Sus scrofa: one gene and its partner. The protein of the gene in region 2 interacts with the protein of the main gene of each other region in a pairwise test. Links are inferred from orthologs where the notes say so. Each region holds a gene or a part of one and is shown on either strand. Other genes may lie near its edges.

Region 1 (10,290 bases), on a different chromosome or scaffold from region 2:
TAGCCGCCGGCCTACGCCAGAGCCACAGCAACGCGGGATCGTTAACCCACTGAGCAAGGGCAGGGACCAAACCCGCAACCTCATGGTTCCTAGTCGGATTCGTTAACCGCTGCGCCACGACGGGAACTCCTCCCTTCTTATTTTTCTTTTCAGAGTTTTCCCGGCCAATTTTGTTTGTTTTTCCTTATGATCTTTACTTCGTGGTAGCTTTGATTTGCATTTCTCTGATAATCAGGGATGTTGAGCGTTTTTCACGCGCTTATTGGCCTTCTGTCTACTTTGGAGAAATGTCTATTCAGGTCTTTTGCCCATTTTTCCATTGGATTGTTGGCTTTTTTGCTGTTGAGTTGTATACATTGTTTGTATATTTTAGGGATGAAGCCCTTGCCAGTTGCATCATTGGAAACTATTTTCTCCCATTCTCTAAGTTGTCTTTTTTTTTTTTTTTTTTTTTAAATGGTTGCCTTTGTGCTGTTCCATTGCAATTGAGGTATTTTTTCCATTTTATTTCCATTTTATTATCTAGTTATTGTTTGGATTTATGAAAGCTGTTGATTTCTGTATGGTTGCATCTCACTAGCTTACCAGATTATCTTACTGATTTTAGAAACGTAGCTTTTTGGTTGGGTCTCTTGGATTTTCTACTTCTGCAGTCATTTCTTTGGCAAGTGATAATTTTATCTCCTCCTTTCCAGTTTTTATTCTTGAGATTTTAGTCTCTTGTCCATTTGCATTGGCCCCGAGTTCTGTTGGAAAGTGTTCATTTTGAGACACTAGGGAGCCCTCCATATGGAGACAGTTTTGAAGCTTAGGAAAGAGAACAGGGCTGGGAATCACATTTGCAAGTCATGAACGGAGATGAGAGTTGAGACAGTGGGAGCCTGTGTATTTGCTGAAGGAGAACGTGCAGTGGGGGCAGGAAACAGAGCAGGGGACAGATCGGTGGCCGCTTGTGGGTGTTGATGGGCAGAGACCACAGAGGACAGGAAGGAAAGGCTGGCTGGCGTTCTGTCTTTCTTTTTTCTCCTTTTAAATAGATGTGATCTGGGGAGCGGTCTTAGATTCACAGCAGAATTGAGCAGGAGGTTCAGGGGTTGTTTGTATACCTGCCGCCTCCCCCCTCTGCTCTGGACAGCCCTCAGGGATGGTCCACCTGTTACTGCTCTTAAAACCGCCTGTCGACACATCACCCACTGGCCCCAGTTTACGTTCGGGTTTGCTCCCCGTGTCAGATCTTCTGTGCGTTGGGACAGATGTGTAATGAATGAGGTGGATCCATCCTAGTACCATACAAGATCGTTTCACCAAAGGGCTTTTCTTTTTAAATTTACTTTTGCTTGCTCAGTATGCTTGGCCATGTTGTAGGCTATTTACATTATGCTGCTGTTGGTATTTCTTTACAAAGCACAGCTGCCTCCATTAGCCTCTGCTGAACTGCATCTTGTCCATTAGCAGTCATTTCTTTAATCTTTCAGTATTTTTCCCTCAGCCCTTTTACTTGTTTTAAAACAGCGGTAAAGAGATTCTTTTGGTGGAAATTGTTTAAACAATTACCTGCAGGAAGGAATTATGCTTGAATGGGAGCCCGAGGGTGGTTTCTTTTGGTTACAAATGAAGCAGTTAAAATAGATATTAAGATTCACAGTGTTTCTCTGATTTTCTTGGAAGTGAATTTAAAAAGAAATTCTTTTAAAAAGAATACAACTAGGAGTTCCCTCTGTGGTGCAGCGGTTTAAGGATCTGGCATTGCTGCAGCTGTGGTGTAGGTGGCAGCTCCAGCTTGGATTCCATCCCTGGCCTGGGAGCTTCCATATGCCATGGGTGTGGCCAAAAATGAAGGAAAAAAAAATACAACTAACTCTTAAAACATTAATAGCCCACTCTTCCGGTTGGAACAAGGTTCTTAGCCATTTTCCTGGGTTCGAATGATGCTCAACCTCAGAAGGTTGTCTGAGATATTTAAGATGTATTGTCTTCTTTTTTTTTTTTTGGTTACACCCATGGCACATGAAAGTTCCTGGGCCAGGGATTGAACCTGTGCCGCCATAGAGACAGTGCTGGATCCTTAAACCACTGTGCCACATCGAGAAGTCCAAAAATGTATTTTCTTTTGTTAGAATGTTAGAATGAGTGAAAGCCTTGCTGTCTTTGCCTGAAGCCACCTGTATACCCACTGCTAATCTCAGCCAAACTGACGCCACCCTTAGACTCTTGCAGCGCCAGGTGAAGGCTTCTGTGCACGTAGCTAGACTCATGTTCTCTCTGGGGTTTGCCTCTCTTGCCACCCCCGGAAGTTGGCTGACTTTTGAGATTTAGGAAGAAATAAAGATAAGCTTATAAGTAGTCAGATTCCTGTGCACTGCTTGGACACATGAGTGGAAGCTTTTTTTGGGGGGGTGGTGCTTTTTAGGGCCACACCTGTGGCATATGGAGGTTCCCAGGCTAGGGGTTGAATCGGAGCTGCAGCTGCTGGTCTACGCCACAGCCACAGCAATGAGGCATCCAAGCCCCATCTACGACCTACACCACAGCTCACAGCAACACTGGATCCTTAACCCACTGAGCTGGGCCAAGGATTGAACCCATGTCCTCATGGATACTAGTCAAGTTTGTTAACCACTAAGCCACGATGGAAACTCCCCATGGGTGGAACTTTCTCACTGGCAGAAATTCTTGTGGGAATAAAAAGTGTGTTTTTGTTTTTATTTATTTATTTTGTCTTTTTGCTATTTCTTTGGGCCGCCCCTGCGGCATCTGGAGGTTCCCAGGCTAGGGGTCGAATCGGAGCTGTAGCCACCGGCCTACGCCAGAGCCACAGCAACGCGGGGTCCGAGCCGCATCTGCAGCCTACACCCCAGCTCACGGCAACGCCGGATGGTTAACCCACTGAGCAAGGGCAGGGACCGAAGCCGCAACCTCATGGTTCCTAGTCGGATTCGTTAACCACTGCGCCACGACAGGAACTCCTGTTTTTATGTTTTTTAATAGAAATCAGAGAACCATGTAGGTGAGAGGTGGGTGCTGCCTCTGCTCAGCTCATTTCATCAACAGATGTGGGTCATGTGTTTTCTGAGCCTCTGTTGCTGGGGACATGGGCTGTCCTGGGAAGAGCAGGCCCCCGGGGTTCTGCTGCACAGTGGAGGAGGGCACAGGGCACTCGGATCCTGAAGGAGCCTCCCGGCCTGGGGGCTTCACCACACGCTCTGTGTCAGAGGGGAAGTGACCGAGTTGGCGGTGGCAGGACGCCGCTCGCTGTCCTGTTCCTTGACTGCCGGCGGCGTCTGAGTTTTCATCTGTCAGGTGACCACGTGTGAGGCAGGGTGGCAGGCTGTGGGCGTGGCCGGCGTGGGGCGGAGCCAGGACACGTGGTGGCGGAGGCCCTTGGGCAGAAAGCGTCCTGACGGCGCGGGCACCAGCGCAGACGTGATGGGGTGCGTGGTAACCGAGCCTCGAGAAACGTGTAGCTTGTCCCCGGTGTGGCGAGGGACACCCCCGAGCTCAGCAGAGCCGCGTGGTGGGCTGGGAGCAAGGCGAGGCGAGGGGCCTGGGGGGCCATGGGCTGGGACGCGTCCCTTGGGACCAGATTAGAGGCACTCAGACGAGGCACGGGGGGCTCTCGCTCCTGCGCTGAGGGTGGGAAGGGCCCGTGGAAACGGAAGGCCTTCTTCACTGGCTTGGGCCGCGTCCCTTATTTTTCCAGCGCGTCCCTTGAGCCCTGTGATCGCCCATCTCGAGGAGGCCCGCCCTCTCCTGTGTGACGACCTCTTTGAGCCAGGGGTTCCTTGGTCCCGCCCTGCTCTGTTAGTTTGCACCGAACTCTCAGCTCTTCTTCGCTGAGCACAGCTGCTTGGCGGGGTCGCCAGGTCCCGCGCCCCCAGGGGGTTCCAGTCTTAAGTACAAGTTGTGCTGAAACCAGCCCCCCTCCTTGAGCGTCCGGGCCTTGAGGTTGAGCCTGAGTCATGCTTGCGTGTTGTCCTCCGCTTTGGGGCTTTTGGTGTCCTCTCCTGCCCCAGACCCGGGACACCCAGGGCGTCCTCTAACAGCGAGGCCCCGGGGCCTCTCTCCTCCTCCTCCTCCGAGAGGCTCCTTGGCCCGGCTGCAGATGGGACCAGGGGAATGTGAGTTCCTGGAAAGGCAGACCTTGCTCAGCACCCAGAAGGTACTTTGATTCTTCTCCCAGGGCCGCGAGTGTCCATGCTTGTCTGACGTTTGCATAGCTGGGAGGCTGACTCACGGAGCTGCGCGGCGGCTCTCCAAGGCGCGAAGGTTGGCCCTGCCCGGCTCCCGCTGCACGTAGCGCTGCACGTAGCGTGGTCAGGGCCCCTGAGTCGGGGCTGCAGGCGGGATGGTAACTCTGATCAGCTCGGTGATTCAGAAGGAGGACTGCGTAGTGCAAAGTCGAGGTCGGTAAGAAGGCCTTGAAATAGGGTAGGAACTGGGACCAGAGACGAAGAGGCGGGTGGACTACCTCAAACGGAAACTGGTTCCTGAGGTAGTGACAGGTTCTAGGATCTGGTGACCCCTTGGATATGGGCCAGAGTAACTCCAAGCGTGTCTAACTTGACCCAGAGTGAGGACTTGAATCCGGGCGGGGAATGGGACCGACAGGAGGGGTAGAGGTCAAGAGGATGGGTTCGTTTCTGGACACGGGCTGTTTCTGTAGGGTTTCCTGGAGCAGGGGTCTGGCAGCCAGTTGAATACAGTGCAGAAAGTAGCACCTCGGAGACAGTTGAGGTCGTGAAGGCGTTGAGGTGTCCAGAGAAGCTGGGGTGTGGCGGAGCACGTGGGTGCCTGGGGGACGGGGTTTTAGGAGCAGCACCACTGAAGGAGCTTGGCCAGAAAGGTCTGGGCTGCCTGGAGGCTGCAGTGGACGGAGAAGTGAGGGTGGAGGCGGTGACAAGTGGCTTCGGGTGACCAGAGGGAATCTTTGGGAAGACCCCGGGGAGGTGACCGGACCTGCAGGAAGTCTAGGAGCCACGCCCAGAAAGCTGAGGGCAGCGACAGGAAGCTGGGCCGGGGGAGCTGTCCTGGGGGAGCTGTGCCCCAGGCGGGCGGCCTGCTCAGGTTGCCCTCTGGCTGCTGCGGCGACTGTCACCACCGGGTCCTGGTGGCCGCTGGCACCGGTGAGGCGATCTCTACACGGTCCTTTTTTTTGGCAGGCCCTGCGCTCTTTCTTGGTGGTCTTAGAGGAAGATGAAATGGAGAGGGGGAGGCAGGGCTGCCAGGAGAGACCCGGGCCCCAGGCTGGGCAGCGAGAATCCGAGCGCTGGATCCCGGGCCTCTGGCCCCTCCTGCAGCTGCAGCTCCCGAGGCCTGCCTGCCTCTGGCTGCTGTTCTCCCAAGATCCGAGAACTGATTTGCCTCCGGTTTGTTTTAATTGTCAGGAATGTGCTTATGTCTGGGTTGGATTAAAGGGCGGTTGAGTTTATCCAGGATTGGCTCTGGCAGCGAGTCTGGAAGGGCTGGAAAGCAAGGGAAGGTTGGAAACAGTGCATCTCGAGGCAGGTCGGGGAGGTGAAACCTCGGGGGTGTGGAGAGACCAGGAGACAGGCAAGTTTTAGCCGCGGGTGCAGGCGGGGGCGAGAAAGCCCAGCGGCCAGATGGTTCCCGGTTAGGCTCAGAGGAACCTGAGGGTTAGGAGTCTGGAGCGGGACCGTGTTTTGAGGCTTTTCGGGGACAGCAGTGAGGTGTCCTCGCAGTGTTTGAACAGGGAGGTGATTCCTACCTTAGGCTCATAGCCTGTAAAGCCAGCACCGTCTCCCCCTCCGAAGGCCACAGATGGCTGGCTGTGCAGCAGCAGAGGGAAGGATGGCTGTGTCCCCGCCGGGCCGGAGGCAGAGCTGCCCCGCGGTCCGGCTCGGTGAAGACCCCGTGTGCAGCAGGTGTTAGCGGTGGACTTGGTGTGGGTGCGGTGTTTCTGTGGAGCGGCGAGGGCATCTGGGCAGGACCGTGACGCCCTTGAACTGTCCCGCCCGCCGTTCAGTCGCCTGCCCACACTTGGAGGTGGGAGAGGATGTGATGATGTGTTAGTTGCCGGTACCGGTTCCCTGGGGTAGGTTCCTGTTTGTCTCTGAATTGATGGGTCAGCATTGAAAGCAAAGAGCGTGTGCTCAAGGCAGTTGTATTTCTTACTGCAAATGGATAACCAGGCTGATTTGAAACATACATTTTTTGAGTGTGACTGTTGCGTACAAGGACCTGGGAGGTGGGCCGACTCCTGGCGCACAGACAGACCCCATCTCGATGTCATGTGAGCCGTGAGACGTTTCTCTCGTGCTGCAGAGCCCTCGAGTCTCTGCTCGGACCGTGTCCTTGCCTGGAAGCAGCTTCTCGTCAGCGCCCTGCGCCTCACCTGCCTGGCTCCGTGTCCAGGTCACCTCCTCCGCCCTCCCTGACCCTCAACCCGAGTTTCCTATCGTTCTGCCTTTCCCCTCTGCACCTTACTGAGGTTTTGTGATATGAATCATGTGTGTATGAGGGTGGGGTGGGGTGGGAGTTGGCGCTTTTCCTTACCGGCCGGGAAGGGTAAGCTGGGCAGCGGCTGTGGCTTTGTCGCTGTGCGTGGCCCCTGCTGCAGGCACAGCCCCTGCTCCAGAGCAGGTGTTGAGTAGGATTTGCTAAATGAATGGAAGCTAAGAAGAGGCCTAGAGAAGGGCCCCCAGGACCGGGCCTGGCACCCCGAGGGGCGAGGGGCAGCCCTGCCGAGGGCTGAGAGCAGCTGTCTGTGACCCGTGGCATGCCACATGTGACCTGCTCAGCCGCGGAGTAACGTCTTATTTTAAGGTGGAAATAGCGTTATCGATTTTCTTTTTCTTTTTTTTTCTGATCGTGAAAGTACAAGCTCCTAAAAGTTTTCAGAAAATTGCAAAGAAGAGACTGAAAAATCATCTCTCATTCTGTCATGATCACCATTTTGGTGTGTTCAACTTGACTTTTCTGTGAGTGAATATGTATATTTTTCAAAACGGGAGCCAAATTCTCTGTACCTAGGGTTTCCTCCCAGCCCTTCTCGTGTCATTACATGGCAGACATCCGTCAGCGTCGGCGAGAGCCACACTGTCATTGGTTGGCCGTGTGGCGTTGTCGTTGGCGTGCCAGCCGTGGCTCCTCTTGTGAACACAGGGTTTTTCGCCGTGGAAATTGCACGGTGAGAAACAGTCTTCAGATGGGGCTTGCAGGCCTCCGGGACTGCACTTCCCTTGAGCCTAGTGGCTGGTAGACTAGAATGCAGATTGGGATGGCGGGTGTTTATTTTTGACTGGGTCTGTCTCCTTGGGGTTTGCATTCGTCATCGATGCCCTCTGCAGATCCAGACACCACCAAGAAAGTACCCCCTGGCCCCCCAGTAGAATGGGAGTAGGTATTGTTAGTTTTAGGTGCCTGAGGCTCTGCTTTAAGGGGGAGAAACTCCTTGTAAGTGTCTAGGTGAAAGGTGTTAATAGTAGTTAATACAATAGTAGCAGCAGCAGCAAGAGTGCCACTGGTCAGTGGTTAATTGCGGCGTGCCAGCCGCTGCCCTAGCACTTGGAGGGGGCATCGTAGCTCCTTGCCGGTTCTCACAGCAGTCCTCGAGATAGGCCTGCCAGCCCCTCCGTGCAGACGAGGAATCTGAGACTTAACCAGATGCAGTAACTCGCACAGGCTCACACGGGAGGAGCTGAGCTGTGGCCCCTGGCCTGCCCGCGGCTGGGCTCCGCTTGGTGACCACGTGCGCCCCGCTCCGCGCGCCTCCCAGGAAAACGAGTGCTCCATGGCGGTAGCGAGGTACAGTTTCTTTATAAGCTAAACGAGGCATCATATTTTTAAAAATAGAAGCAGGCATGCTGTAACGTTTGGGGGAGTGTGTGTAAAATTAAGACGTGGCCGCTCTTACCGCCTTGGCGGCAGATGGTAGCACCCGGCTGAGACAGGTCGGTCAGGGCGCCCTGGTGCCCGGCTGCCTTCAGCCGGGTGTTTCCTCCTTGCACTCCCGCCTCTCTTTTTCTCTGGCTCCGTCAAGTTTCACCTCCTGTTCCTCCAGCCTGCACTCTTGCTGGACAGCTGCTAAACATCTGTTGCTCGGCGCTGAGACGTGCGGTGGGCGTGTGTACACGGTGGCTCCGTCTCCTGCTGGAATCCGCTCCCGGAGCCTTCAGAGCGAAGGGGCCGCGTGGCCCTGGGCAGCGTCTTGTGTCCTCGCTGTCCCCACAGCCGCAGGGGCTCTGCATGACCCATAAAGACGCCTCTCAGAACTGAGGGACCTTTTGCCGTCACAGGAGTAAGGAAAAGACCAAGACGAGGCGACGGAGGAGGAGGAAATCTATTTAAAAGGGCGGGTTTGACTCTCTGACGGCGCCTCCGGTGTTGGGCGTGAGGGGACCGTCTGTGGTCTGGGCCGAGGGGGTGGAGTGGGAGGCAGGTCTCGGGACAGCCCGGATCTCCAGCAGCTAAAATGTTAAGGTCGAGCCTGGCTCGGAGGCAGATAAAAGTTCCTTTGCCTCCTCTCCTTGCTTTAAAACTGTTCATTTTTAATTTTTAAGGTCATGTGCCGGGGGCGTTGGGGGACACACACTCACACACACACACACACACACACTCTTTGCTACCAGCCTGGCTCTTTCAGCCTAGCCTGACCCCTGAATCCTGCCTCCCACACAGCTTGCGAACTCGAGTCTTTGCTCACAAAGACTGCTCTCCAGCCCTTCTCCTCCCTCCGAAGTGCTCCGTGTTTGGCCCGAGCGTTTGGAACAGAGCTGGGCTATGGGGCATGTTCGTGAGTGTGCGCTGCTGTCCTGCGGGGCTGGAGCGTGAGCTCCAGAGCAGATGCGTGTGACCGCGGAGCTGCCCTCGAAGCCGTTCCCAGTGTGCCCTGTGATCTGTTGACGGTGCCTCTTTGGCACGGGGAAGAGGTGGCGGGCAGTGGTTCAAGAGAGGGAGAGGAACGGAGGCTCAGGAAGGCAGGTCCTTAGGCCTTTCCTCTGTGAGCCGGGGTGCGGCCCCGCCAAACCCTAAATCAGGCTGGAAAACAAGGGGAAGCTTCACGTGTCCCCAGTCATCGTTAATACATTTTTGTTTAAATAGGAGACGCTGAGTCAGAGTGAGCCCGAGCACCGATCCGCTCGTTGAAGTCTCCCACATTTTCCTGATTAAAGAAACAGACCCCGAAGCAAATCGGAGGCTCTTGTTTGCCGCAAAGTTAGCGTTTTTATATCCTGGTTCAGCCGAGGTCCCACTTGTTCACATTCACGGTGGAATTTTCTGCTGGGGGATCCTAACATTTTGAGGAACGTTTTCAATAAAGTTTATGAGATGTTTTCGTCTTGGAAGATGTGCAGAGACCCTGACAGCCCCCTCGGGTGGAGAACTACAGATTTACTGCTTACGGAGAACTTAGTTGATGGACATGCTTCCCTTTGCAAGCCCTGGGAAAACCTCCCCAGGCGCCTTTTTTTTTTTTTTTTTTTTAAATGGCTGTACTTGTGACATACAGAACGTTCTGGGGCCAGAGATTAAATCTGAGACGCAGCTACCAGCTACACCACAGCTACAGCAGCGCTAGATCCATGCTTGGACCTGAGGATTGAATGTAGTGACTTGAGCTGTTGCAGTCAGATTTTTTTTTTTTTTTTTGTCTTTTCAGAGCTACACCCACCGCATATGGAGGTTCCCAGGCTAGGGGTCCAGTCGGAGCTGCAGCTGTTGGCCTGCACCACAGCCACAGCCACGCCAGATCTGAGCCACGTCTGCGACCTACACCACAGCTCATGACAGCGCCCCCCCACTGAGCGAGGCCAGGGATCGAACCTGCCTCCTCACGGATGCTAGTCATGTTCATTAACTGCTGAGCCACGACGGGAACTCCTGCGGTCTGATTCTTAACCCGATGCGCCCCAGCGGCAATCGCGAACCTCCCCAGCCTTGTGCTTTGGAGGCAGCTGTCCGTGTGGGTGGCACCCGTCCTTGGTCCGTCTTTACTGGGAACGTTTCCAAGTCTAATGATTGTTGTAGGTTTCTGCCACAGACCCTTTGCTGAGGTTAAGAACTCTTTTATTTTTAGTTTACCACATTTTTTTTTTTTTTTTTTTTTTTTTTTAATCAGAAAGGGCTGTTGAATTTCACCAAACGCTGTTTTCCCCTATTTGAGACAGTCTTGTGTTTTTCATTAGGAGCCTTTCGGTACTATTGGACTTTTATTTTTAAAAAAGCTGTTTGCAGGAGTTCCCATCGTGGCTCAGCGGAAACGAATCCAACTAGGAACCATGAGGTGGAGGGTTTGATCCCTGGCCTTGCTCAGTGGGTTAAGGATCCGGC
Region 2 (10,345 bases):
ATCCAGCTAGGGACCATGAGGATGCCTGTTCAATCCCTGGCCTCGCTTAGTGGGTTAAGGATCCAGCATTGCCATGAGCTGTGGTGTAGGTCGAAGACGAGGGTCCCATCCCAAGTGGCTATGGTGTAGTCTGTCAGCTACAGCTCTGATTCAACCCCTAGCCTGGGAACTTCCATATGCTGCGGGTGTAGCCCTAAAAACCAAAAAAATTTAAAAAATGAATGAAATAGTGCCATTTACTGTAACATGGATGGACCTAGAGATACCATATAATATCACTTCTATGCGGAATCCAAAATATGGCAGAAATGAACCTGTCTACAAAACAGAAACGGACTCACAAAGAACAGACTTCTGGTTGCTAAAGGGAGAGGGAATGGGATGGACTGGGAGTTTGGGGTTAGTAGATGCAAACTACTGCATTTAGAATGGATAAACAAAGTCCTACTGTATAGCCCAGGGAATTATATCCAATCTCATGGGATAGATCATGATGGAAAATAATATACAAAAAAGCATGTACATAGGAGTTCTCATTGTGATTCAGCATGTTAAGAACCTGACAGTGTCCACGAGGATTCGGGTTTGATCCCTAGCCTCGGGTTCAGTGGGTTAAGGATCTAGCATTGCCCTAAGCTGTGGTGTAGGTCAAAGATGCTGTTCAGATCTTATGTGGCTGTGGCTGTGGTGTAGACCTGCAGCTCCCATTCAGCCCCTAACCCAGCAACTCCAATATGCTACAGGTGAGGCCATAAAAAAAAAGAATATATATATATATATATATATATATATGTATGACTGAAACACTTTGCTGTATAGCAGAAATTGGCACAACATTGTAAATCAACTATAGGTTGTTTTTTTTTTTTAACAGAGTCTTTTTTTTCCTTTTCTTTTTTTCTTTTTTTTTTTTTTTTTTTGGTCTTTTTAGGGCCGCATCCATGGCATATGGAGGTTCCCAGACTAGGGGTCTAATCGGAGCTCTAGCTCTACATCACAGCCACAGCAACATGGGATCCGAGCCACGTCTGCAACCTACACCACAGCTCACGGCAATGCCGGATCATTAACCCACTGAGCAAGGCCAGGGATCGAACCCGCAACCTCATGGTTCCTAGTCGGATTCGTTAACCACTGAGCCACGATGGGAACTCCAGGTCTTCTTTTTTTTTTTTTTTTTTTTTTAAGGAGTTCCCACTGTGGTGCCATGGGTTAAGAATCCAACTGCAGCAGCTCAGGTTGCTGTGGAGGCACCGGTTCAATCCCCGGCCCCTGGTGCAGTGGGTTAAAGGATTCAGCGTTGCCACAGCTGTGGCATAGTTTGCAGCTGCAGTTCAGATTCAATCCCTGGCCTGGGAACTTCAATATGCTGCTGCTGTAGGCATTAAAAAAAAAAAAAAAAGAATGGAAGAACACTCAAAAAACTTAAATGGCCCACTCTAGGTGACAGGATGGGGCCATGCAGGGGAAAGGGCTTGTCCTCCTTCCACTTAATGACCTGCTGTTACCTTTAAAATGTTTACAGCACATACGTCTGAAGACCTTTTATAAACTTATAAAACCACCTTCAAAATAGAAGCTGCCATTTACTGTACTTCTAACTGCCCAGCCCCACCAGCTGCTGGGGGCCCAGAGGAAAGGCACTGGTGTGGTTGTCAGGCCCTAGATCTGAGTACAAGTGGCGAGTTCTCGTTCCTTTCTTCTACCGGACTGTGAGTTCAGGGACAGTAGAGGCTGGCTGGCTTCTCACCTCTCTATTTTGTGCCAGCTCAGGGTGGGTGTTTGATGAAATCTAGATGGTGGAGATAGGTCTATGTTTATTGGGCTTCCCCAGAGTTCCACAGGGAGCCTAGTGGAGGAGGAGGCGGCAAAAAAGGGGAGGAAGCGGGAGTTCCCTTTGTGCCTCAGAAGGTTATGAACCTGACTAGTATCCATGAGGATGTGAGTTTGATCCCTGGCCTCGCGAACTGCGGTGTAAGTTGAAGACACAGCTCAGATCTGGCATTGCTAGATTCCTAGCCTGGGAACTTCCCTATGCCGCAGACCTTATTTATGAAAAGCATAAATAAAAAATAAAGGAGGAGGAAGCAGCATGGAGGTGTGTTGGACAGACGAATGGGGCAGACTGTGAAGCTGTGAGGCCAAGGACAAAGCCAGAGAGGTGAAAGCTGAGTTGCAAATTTGGCATCTACTGGTTCACAAATGAGTCCCCTTGAAGGAAGCCACCAACGATCTAGACTCAGGTTTGATGCCACATGTGAGGATGGGATGGGTCCGCTGAGCCACTCAAGCTCCAGGGAATTCAGTTGGTATGTGAAATTGTTAAATGATAGCAACACACACACACACACACATGTGCACATGCTACACAGACATCTGTGAGCCAAATTCGGACTTTGGGTCTCTGGATGACAGTCAAGTTCATGACAATCTTTGGAGGCCAGGTATTGAGGCACTGGTAGACATTAGGTGACACAGAGGGAGCAGACTTCCGGGCCCCTCCCCATAGAATTAAAGCAATAATAACTCAGATTTACCTCATGTTACAGATTTCAAAATACTTAAAGGACATCCTCACAGAGCTAAGATCTGGTTATCCCCCTTTTAGAGAGGAAGAAACAGGGTCCGAGAGGTGCAAGGGGTGGGCTCAGACACAGAGCGAGTGGAATTGATTCCATCTGATTCCAAAGTCCTGGGAGGCCCCTGGCCTGGGGCGATGATGCTGACAACTGCAGACACTTAGTATCCAGACATTGTTCTAAGAGGAAGGCTCTTAACCTGGACTTCCCAATTCAGAGGGTCTATAAACTTGGATGGCAAAAAAAGTGACGTATTTTCACTAACTTCTAAACAAAATTTACCATTTCCTTCTATATGGATTGAAGTATTAGCCTTCGGTGTGGCTTCATCACCAGTAGAAACCACAGATATTTTCATGACAAATTGTAGTTATTGCATGCCTCTCAAAATACTACTTATGCTCATAACTATTTCAAAATGGTGACAGTTATTAATACACTGCTAAATCACACTCTGTTTCAGACACTCCTGTGACATAGCTGCCATTGATTGTGCCCAGTAGAGGATCAGTGACCAAATGGTGAATCCACCTGCTCTGACATTGGTGACCCTGGCTTCTTCATTACTCCCTTGCATTCTTTATCTGTAGTTGTTTGCTGGTCAATAAGTGTGAGGAATTGAGTAAAAGACCAGCACCCACAGTTCAGTGTTATTCACGCTGAGCAACAACACAATAATATCGTTAGAAAAGGAAAATTTAACTTGCCAGTCTTGTTACTTAATGCTGATAAATAGCTATTACTATATAATACATTTGGATTTTTAATATGTTTTGGCAGTACGTGTCCTCTTTGTAATCTTTGGCATTTTGCTTTATGCTTTTATTTATTTGGAGGTTGGGTTTGTTGTTTATTTTTTTTCTTTTTATGGCTGTCGCTGCAGCATATGGAAGTTCCCAGGCTAGGGTCGAATCAGAGCTGCAGCTTCTGGCCTAGGCCACAGCAATGGCAACACCAGATCCAAGCCGCATCTGTGACATACCCTGGAGCTCACGGCAACACCAGATCCTTAACCCAGGGAGTGAGGCCAGGGATCAGACACTTTATTGTAGCCTTAACCCAGTGAACCATGAGGGAAACTCCACTGCTTTATGCTTTTTTTTTTTTTGTTGTTGTTGTTGTTTGTTTTGGTTTGGTTTTTTTTTTTTTTTTTTTTTTTTTTGTATTTTCTAGGGCCGCATCCACGGCATATGGAGGTTCCCAGGCTAGGGGTCAAATTGGAGCTACAGCTGCCAGCCTACATCACAGCCACAGCAACTCAGGATCTGAGCCACATCTGCGACCTCCACCACGGCTCATGGCAAAGCCGGATCCTTAACCCACTGAATGAGGCCAGGGATTGAACCCCCAACCTCATGGTTCCTAGTCGGATTACGTTAAACACTGAGCCACGATGGGAGCTCCTGCTCTACACTTTTAAAAGCATCATTGCAAAAAAGGATCAGGGTTTTCATCATGCTGCCGAAAGTGTCCGTGTGCAAAAAAAAAAAGGGCTAAAAACCAGTTCTGAAGGTTTTAGAGCTATTCACACAGGCACTCTGCACAGCACCTCTCCCAAATAGGAACTATTACATCCACTCAGGGAAACTGATGCCTGGTGTGTAGGCTTAGCCCTTCATCACACAGCTAACAAGCTCAGAGCTGGGATTTGCACCCAGGCTCTGGCTCCCGAAAATCTGTGCTTTGCTGCTGTGCTCACTGCTCACTTTTTGGCCCCTTTTGGAGGACGCTGCCAGGTGAGGCCATTTGGGGGCAGGGATCCTCTTGAGATCAGCTGGGTCACACACCAGAGGCACACCCTGGCCCTGGCAGCCCAGCTGCCCTAGGATGCCTGAAGGGCGGGGCAGAAGGTGAACAGGCAGGAGGCCAATGGCTGTCGCAACGCCTCACCTGGTGAGCTCTGAGGGCCCAGGTATGCTGGTGGCCCCGCCCCCGGCCCGGCCCGGCCCGGCCCAGCCCGGCTCGGCCCCTCCCCAGGTCACGGCTCTGGGAGCGGAAATTCCTGCGCGGGCGAGACCGAACGGGTGCGGATCTGAGCGGCCGAACTTGGCCATGGAGCCAGTCGCGACCTGGACCCCCGGGAAGGTGGCGGCCTGGCTGAGAGGTGGGTGGGGCTGGGGCAGTGTTGGGCTTCAGGAGCACTGGGACCGGGAGAGGCAAAGGAAAACGACCTGCCCGGTTTTCCAGCTGGTTAGTCAGTCAACAAGTATTTACGGAGCGTCTGCCGTGAACCTGGCGGAAGAAAAACTAAGATGACCCTGGGAAGTCGGGGGGCCGAGTACCCAGAAGGGGTCTCTCATCGCCCAAGCAGCTCAAGAGGCTGCCAGGGTGGCTGTGGGGAGGCAGTGGTTGTGTAATGAAAACGGAGGGTGTTGCCCCAGCGGGCCCACCCCCACTGTATCTCCTTCATCTCCCCTCTGCCCCAGGGCGCAGTAGGCTGTTATTAAACCCATTTTTCAGAAGCGGAAACCTATGCACTGAGCCAGGAAGTGATTTGCTCTGGCTTTGGAAGAGGGCCGCCTGGGTGTCTTTTCCCTTCTCCCCACCTGCTCCCACTTGAGAGCAGAAGCCCTAGCTTGACTGAAGGGGTTGACATAGCCCCCCCACTCCGCGCCTCCAGGGGAGATGAGCCCAGATGGGTGAGGAAGGGCCCAGACTCTAAGTGAAGACCTTCTGACATGCAGCTGGGGGTGGGCAGGTGAGTCAGGACATCCCTCTGACAGGGAGCAGCTGAGTACACTGGGAGCAGGCTCGGGGTGACCAGCCCCGGAAAAAGCAGGGATTCAGGGCTGGAGTCAGACACTCAGACCGAGTTCCAGGCCCAGCCCCTCCACTCACGGTTTTGCAATACAGGTCTATTTTCCCTTCCCTAAAATGGGAAAGGCAGCTCTGATCTCATCAAGTGGACCAAATGAGACCATCACGACCAGGACCTGGCGCATTTAGCTCAGTGTCAGGATCTGTTGGGAGGGAGGCAGCCCAGTATATTCACAATACCTGGGAAGGGAGGTGCTCCAGGGCCCACTGCCATGGAGCAACAGGTTCATGAACCCCTAGTCACATGCTCTTTTTTTTTTTTTTGCTATTTCTTGGGCCGCTCCTGCGGCATATGGAGGTTCCCAGGCTAGGGGTCCAATCGGAGCTATAGCACCGGCCTACACCAGAGCCACAGCAACGCGGGATCCGAGCCGCGTCTGCAACCTACACCACAGCTCACAGCAACGCCGGATCGTTAACCCACTGAGCAAGGGTAGGGACTGAACCCACAACCTCATGGTTCCTAGTCGGATTCGTTAACCACTGCGCCACGACGGGAACTCCCCTAGTCACATGCTCTTAATGTCACACAGGGAATGAGGGTCAGCTCTTGATCATGTGCACATACTCCAGTGACGGACCCTGGCTTTGAATGGCAGGGGTTCCTTCAAAGAGCAAGAAAGCTAGCTGTTAACTTTGATTTGTTTTCCCATCTGTAAAATGAGAATAACAGCATCTCTACCTCCTAAATTCACTAGATAGTTTTTGTTTGTTTTTTGTTTTTTTTTAGGGCCACACCTACAGCATATGGAGGTTCCCAGGCTAGGGGTCTAATCAGAGCTGTTGCTGCTGGCCTGCGCCACAGCCACACCAGATCCGAGCCACCTCTGTGACGTTCACGGGATCCGAGCTGCATCTGTGACCTACACCACAGCTCATGTCAATGCCGGATCCTTAACCCAGTGAGCGAGGCCAGGGATCGAACCCGCAACCTCATGGTTCCTAGTCTGATTTGTTTCCGCTGTGCCACGACGGGAACTCCTAGATAGTTTTCATATTTTTGAGTGTCTACCTTGTGCCAGGCCTGGGCTGGAATTAGAGATGAACAGTTGCTGAAGGCCCAGTCCTCGAAGAGCTTGTCATCAAGCAGAAGAGGCCGGTGCTCTGGTGCAGGGGTTGGTGGAGGCACAGAGGCAGTGAGAACAGGAAGTTGCCCCAACCCAGCCTGGGGAGTTGTGGGAGGCTGGAAGGAGTTAGATGAAAAAAGATGTAAAGGAGCTAGAAGAGCAGTCTAGGCAGAAGGAACAGCATATGCGAGGACCCTGAGGCAAGAGAGCCTTCCAGGAGCTGCAGTGAGTCAGTGCTCTGGATCTCAAGTGTTGAGTTTGAAGGGCTGGGCCAAGAAATGAGACCGGACAGGCAGGTGGTGGCCAATTATACAAGACCTTGCAAATCATGGTAAAAAGTCCGTCAATAATCATATGGGGGCTGCTATTTTCTTTTTTTTTTCTTCTTCTTTTGTGTGTGTGTGAGTGTCTTTTTGCCGTTTCTTGGGCTGCTCCCACAGCATATGGAAGTTCCCAGGCTAGGGGTCTAATTGGAGCTGTAGCCACCAGCCTACACCAGAGCCACAGCAACACAGGATCTTGAGCCGCGTCTGCAATCTACACCACAGCTCATGGCAGTGCCGGATCCTTAACCCACTGAGCAAGGCCAGGAATCGAACCCGCGACTTCATGATTCCTAGTCGGATTCGTTAACCACTGCGCCACGACGGGAACTCCAGGGGCTGCTATTTTCTGTCTACCATGAACCAAGAGAGTGGGTCCAGAGCTTGACTTGCGTCATGTTATTTAATACACATGCTTAGAAGGTAGGTGTTTTTATTAGCCCCACGTGACAGTGAGGAAACTGAGGCACGGAATAATTAAGTTATTTGCTCAAGTGCTATCACTCGGGTCGCTCTGACTCCAAAGCCCCATCAAGCATGACTTGAGCAAGCTTCAGAACACCTGGGGATTTGTTAAAACGCAAAGTGCTGGGCCCTGCCCCTGAGTTCTGGTTCAGCAGGTGTGGGGTGGGGCTGTGGATATGTCTTGCTAACAAATTCTCCTGTGAGGCGGCCGCTGCGGCTGGTCTGGGGGCCACCTCTGAGAGCTGCTGCCCTATGGGATCCTCCCTCTCAACTCAGTAGCCTTATCTGTGAAATGGGCAGGACAGAGCACAGCCTGGGTCTCAGGGTTGTCAATAGGAAAAGGGCTTTTGTACTGCCGGGCAAGGCCCTGACACCCCTGGCTCCCTGCCACACTGACCCCCATTCTCCCTCCAGGCCTCGATGATTCCCTGCAGGACTATCCCTTTGAGGACTGGGAGTTGCCTGGCAAGTACCTGCTCCAGCTCTGCCCCCGCAGCCTGGAGGCTCTAACTGTGTGGCCTCTGGGCCATCAGGAGCTCATCCTAGAAGGGGTGGAACAGCTCCGGGCCCTGGTGAGTGCCTGGTGGCCACACTGGCTGCAGCTTCCACCTCCTTTGGAAGTGCTGATGGGAGGCTGGCCGCTGCCAGGAATTAACCTGCCCCTCTGGTACAGAGCTCCGGGCTACAGTCGGAGAACCTGCAGAGCCTGACAGAAAGGCTGCTGGAGAGGATCCGGGCATTCCAGGGCTTAGTCCAAGGTCACCTGGGGGGCTGTGCCGAGCCCCCTGCCGATGTCCTCAACGCAGCCGTCGAGCTGGTGCATGAGGCCCGTTCCCTCCTCTTCTGGCTCAACAGGTACCTCGGGCTCCCCCCAGGTCTGTGTGAAGGGTAAGGGGCCCCTTCTCATCCTTGGCCTCTTCCAGGACCTGGGAGAGAAAAATAGAGCTTGCTCAGCTATGGTGGAAGCGGGCAAAGAAGCTAATTGGTCTGTGTAGGGGCACTGGGATGTCTGAGTTCCCACGCCACTTCCAGCTTGTAACCATGACAATCGCATCAACGACATTGCATCCAGAGCTCTCCACCCACTTGACTGGCTAATGCTTGTCCCATAGGTCCCAGCTCTGATGTCACCTCCTCAGGAAAGCCCTCCCTGTTATACACTCTGAGAGCTCCCTACACTTCACAGCAATAGAAGTTAAATCATTATTGATGTGATTACATGTTTAATATCTGCCTCTCCAGTGCCTACAACAGGGCCTGGCATTTAGTAGGCACTTGACAATCAAGTCCTGTCTTGAGATGTAGAGTCATCTCATTTATCCCAAATCAAAACCCATCAGAATGGGGATTTTTCCCCAAGTCCCAGATGCATAGTCAGCTCAGGGTGGTCCACTGACTTGACTGTTGGGCTCAGTCCCCTAACCACTGCTCCATCCTTCCCCCTGCCAGGTACCTCTTCTCCCACTTAAATGACTTCTCATCCTGCCAGGAGATTGGGGAGTTGTGCGGGGAGCTGGGCCAGGCCTTGCAGGAGGTAGGAGAACCAGGGGCCAGGCTTGGCCCAGGCCATAGAGACCAAATCAGGCTACAGCTTTTTATAACTTGTGAATCAGCAGAGGATCAGGTGTGAGAGCAGGAAGAGGCGAGGGTGGAAGGAGAAGAGGCCCAGCCACTGGGTAGGGGGTGATGGGGGTGTGGGGGCTCCTAACGGGCTGGGGTAGCTCAGGAAGTTTAACTCAGGAGGGGGAGGAGCAGGGGAGGGCGTGTGTGGTGACTTCTAGGTGCCTGGCCTCCAGGGATGAGAGCTTGAGGCCAAACCTCTGAGGCCATGTAGTTCTGGGAAGGGGGCCAGAGTATGGGGCGCAGGGAGGGCCTTCAGGGAACCTCCCTACCCTTGGGAGAAGGCAGTACACCCTACTCAGGGTAGGCCTCTGCTCTCTCACTCTGCTTCCAGGACTGTCCAGCGGCTGAGAAGGAGAGCAAAGTCCTGAGGATTGTGAGTCCGGGGGCTGAGTGGGGCATCGGGGTGGGATGGGAGGGGGCTCGGGCTAGACATCCTGCTCTCCCTCCGCCAGTGCAGCCACGTGGCTGGGATCTGCCACAACATCCTGAGCTGCAGCCCGGAGGAGCTGCTGGAGCAGAGGGCCGTGCTAGAGCGCGTAGAGCTGGATGATCCTTCCGTGAGCCTTGACCTCTCAACTCACCTCTGACCCCGGCAGCCTTGCCTGGGCCCTGAACCCAGGTTCTAGGATCCACAGCATCCTCTGCTATTGCAGCTGGAAGGCTCTTTCTGTAGAGATGTCCACGGCCCAGAGGACTTCGCTGGGCTCTTATCCTTATTCAGCCCCTTCTCCAGTCCTGAAGGGCTGCAGTTGGGGTGGCCTCAGGCGACACATCCCAGCCAGCCCTGGGACACGGAGAGGGGAGAGGACCTGAACTTTTCTGCTTTAATCTTTGACCAGTTGGGAAAACCCCATACTCTCACACTCCTGTCCCAGCTTAGCCCTTCAAGAGAGTTGCTAAGAATTTCATCCCTCAGAAATCAGCTCCCCTCAGCTCTTGTGGGAGGAGGAGGCAGAGCCCAGAGAGGAGCAGCGGCAAGCCCCAAGTCACACAGCATGTTGGGCTGTGCCAGCTCTGTCCCCCATTCCACCCACCTATGAGTCCTGGTGCCCAGCGGGGTCCTGCCCTGCGGCCCCCACACCCTCAGTGACTGCAGCCTCTGCCTCACAGGGCCTGGAAATCCACACCACCAGCAACTGCCTGCACTTCGTGGGCACCCAGGTGAGAGCCCTGCCCCCTTCTCAGCAGCCCACCCCCATGCCCCCTTACCTGCTGGCCAAGCCAGCTTCTGGCCCCGTGAGGGTGCAACTTCTGAGCCCCACACTCCCCATCAGGTTCCCGCCAACTCCCGGCTGCAGATCCTGCCTGGAGACGAGATTGTCCAGATCAATGAGCAGGTGGTGGTGAGTGAGGGGAGGGGGCGTGCTGGGAGAAAGGAGGGTCCTGCGTAGAACTCAGGTCTGTGGGTGGGGAGGTTCCCTTGGGAAAACCAGGGTTTGAGAGCTGCCTTCTGCGAGGGGGGACCAGCTCT

What was found. The genes of interacting proteins can lie anywhere in the genome.
Region 1: the proteins of CNKSR1 (region 2) and CYTH3 interact in binary tests that used the Homo sapiens proteins (3 or more experiments, as listed by UniProt). The two-hybrid records come from large-scale screens. The link is inferred for Sus scrofa from reciprocal best matches to the Homo sapiens genes CNKSR1 and CYTH3.

The regions. Positions count from the first base shown.
Region 1 is NC_010445.4:4,926,790-4,937,079, forward strand, and holds the start of CYTH3 (cytohesin-3), read left to right. Parts: upstream 1-4,275; 5' UTR 4,276-4,345; coding exon 4,346-4,403; intron 4,404-10,290. UniProt on the Homo sapiens protein: Promotes guanine-nucleotide exchange on ARF1 and ARF6. Promotes the activation of ARF factors through replacement of GDP with GTP. Plays a role in the epithelial polarization.
Region 2 is NC_010448.4:83,593,824-83,604,168, forward strand, and holds the start of CNKSR1 (connector enhancer of kinase suppressor of ras 1), read left to right. Parts: upstream 1-4,539; 5' UTR 4,540-4,631; coding exon 4,632-4,683; intron 4,684-7,665; coding exon 7,666-7,823; intron 7,824-7,924; coding exon 7,925-8,106; intron 8,107-8,700; coding exon 8,701-8,785; intron 8,786-9,205; coding exon 9,206-9,247; intron 9,248-9,326; coding exon 9,327-9,431; intron 9,432-9,984; coding exon 9,985-10,035; intron 10,036-10,148; coding exon 10,149-10,217; intron 10,218-10,345. UniProt on the Homo sapiens protein: May function as an adapter protein or regulator of Ras signaling pathways.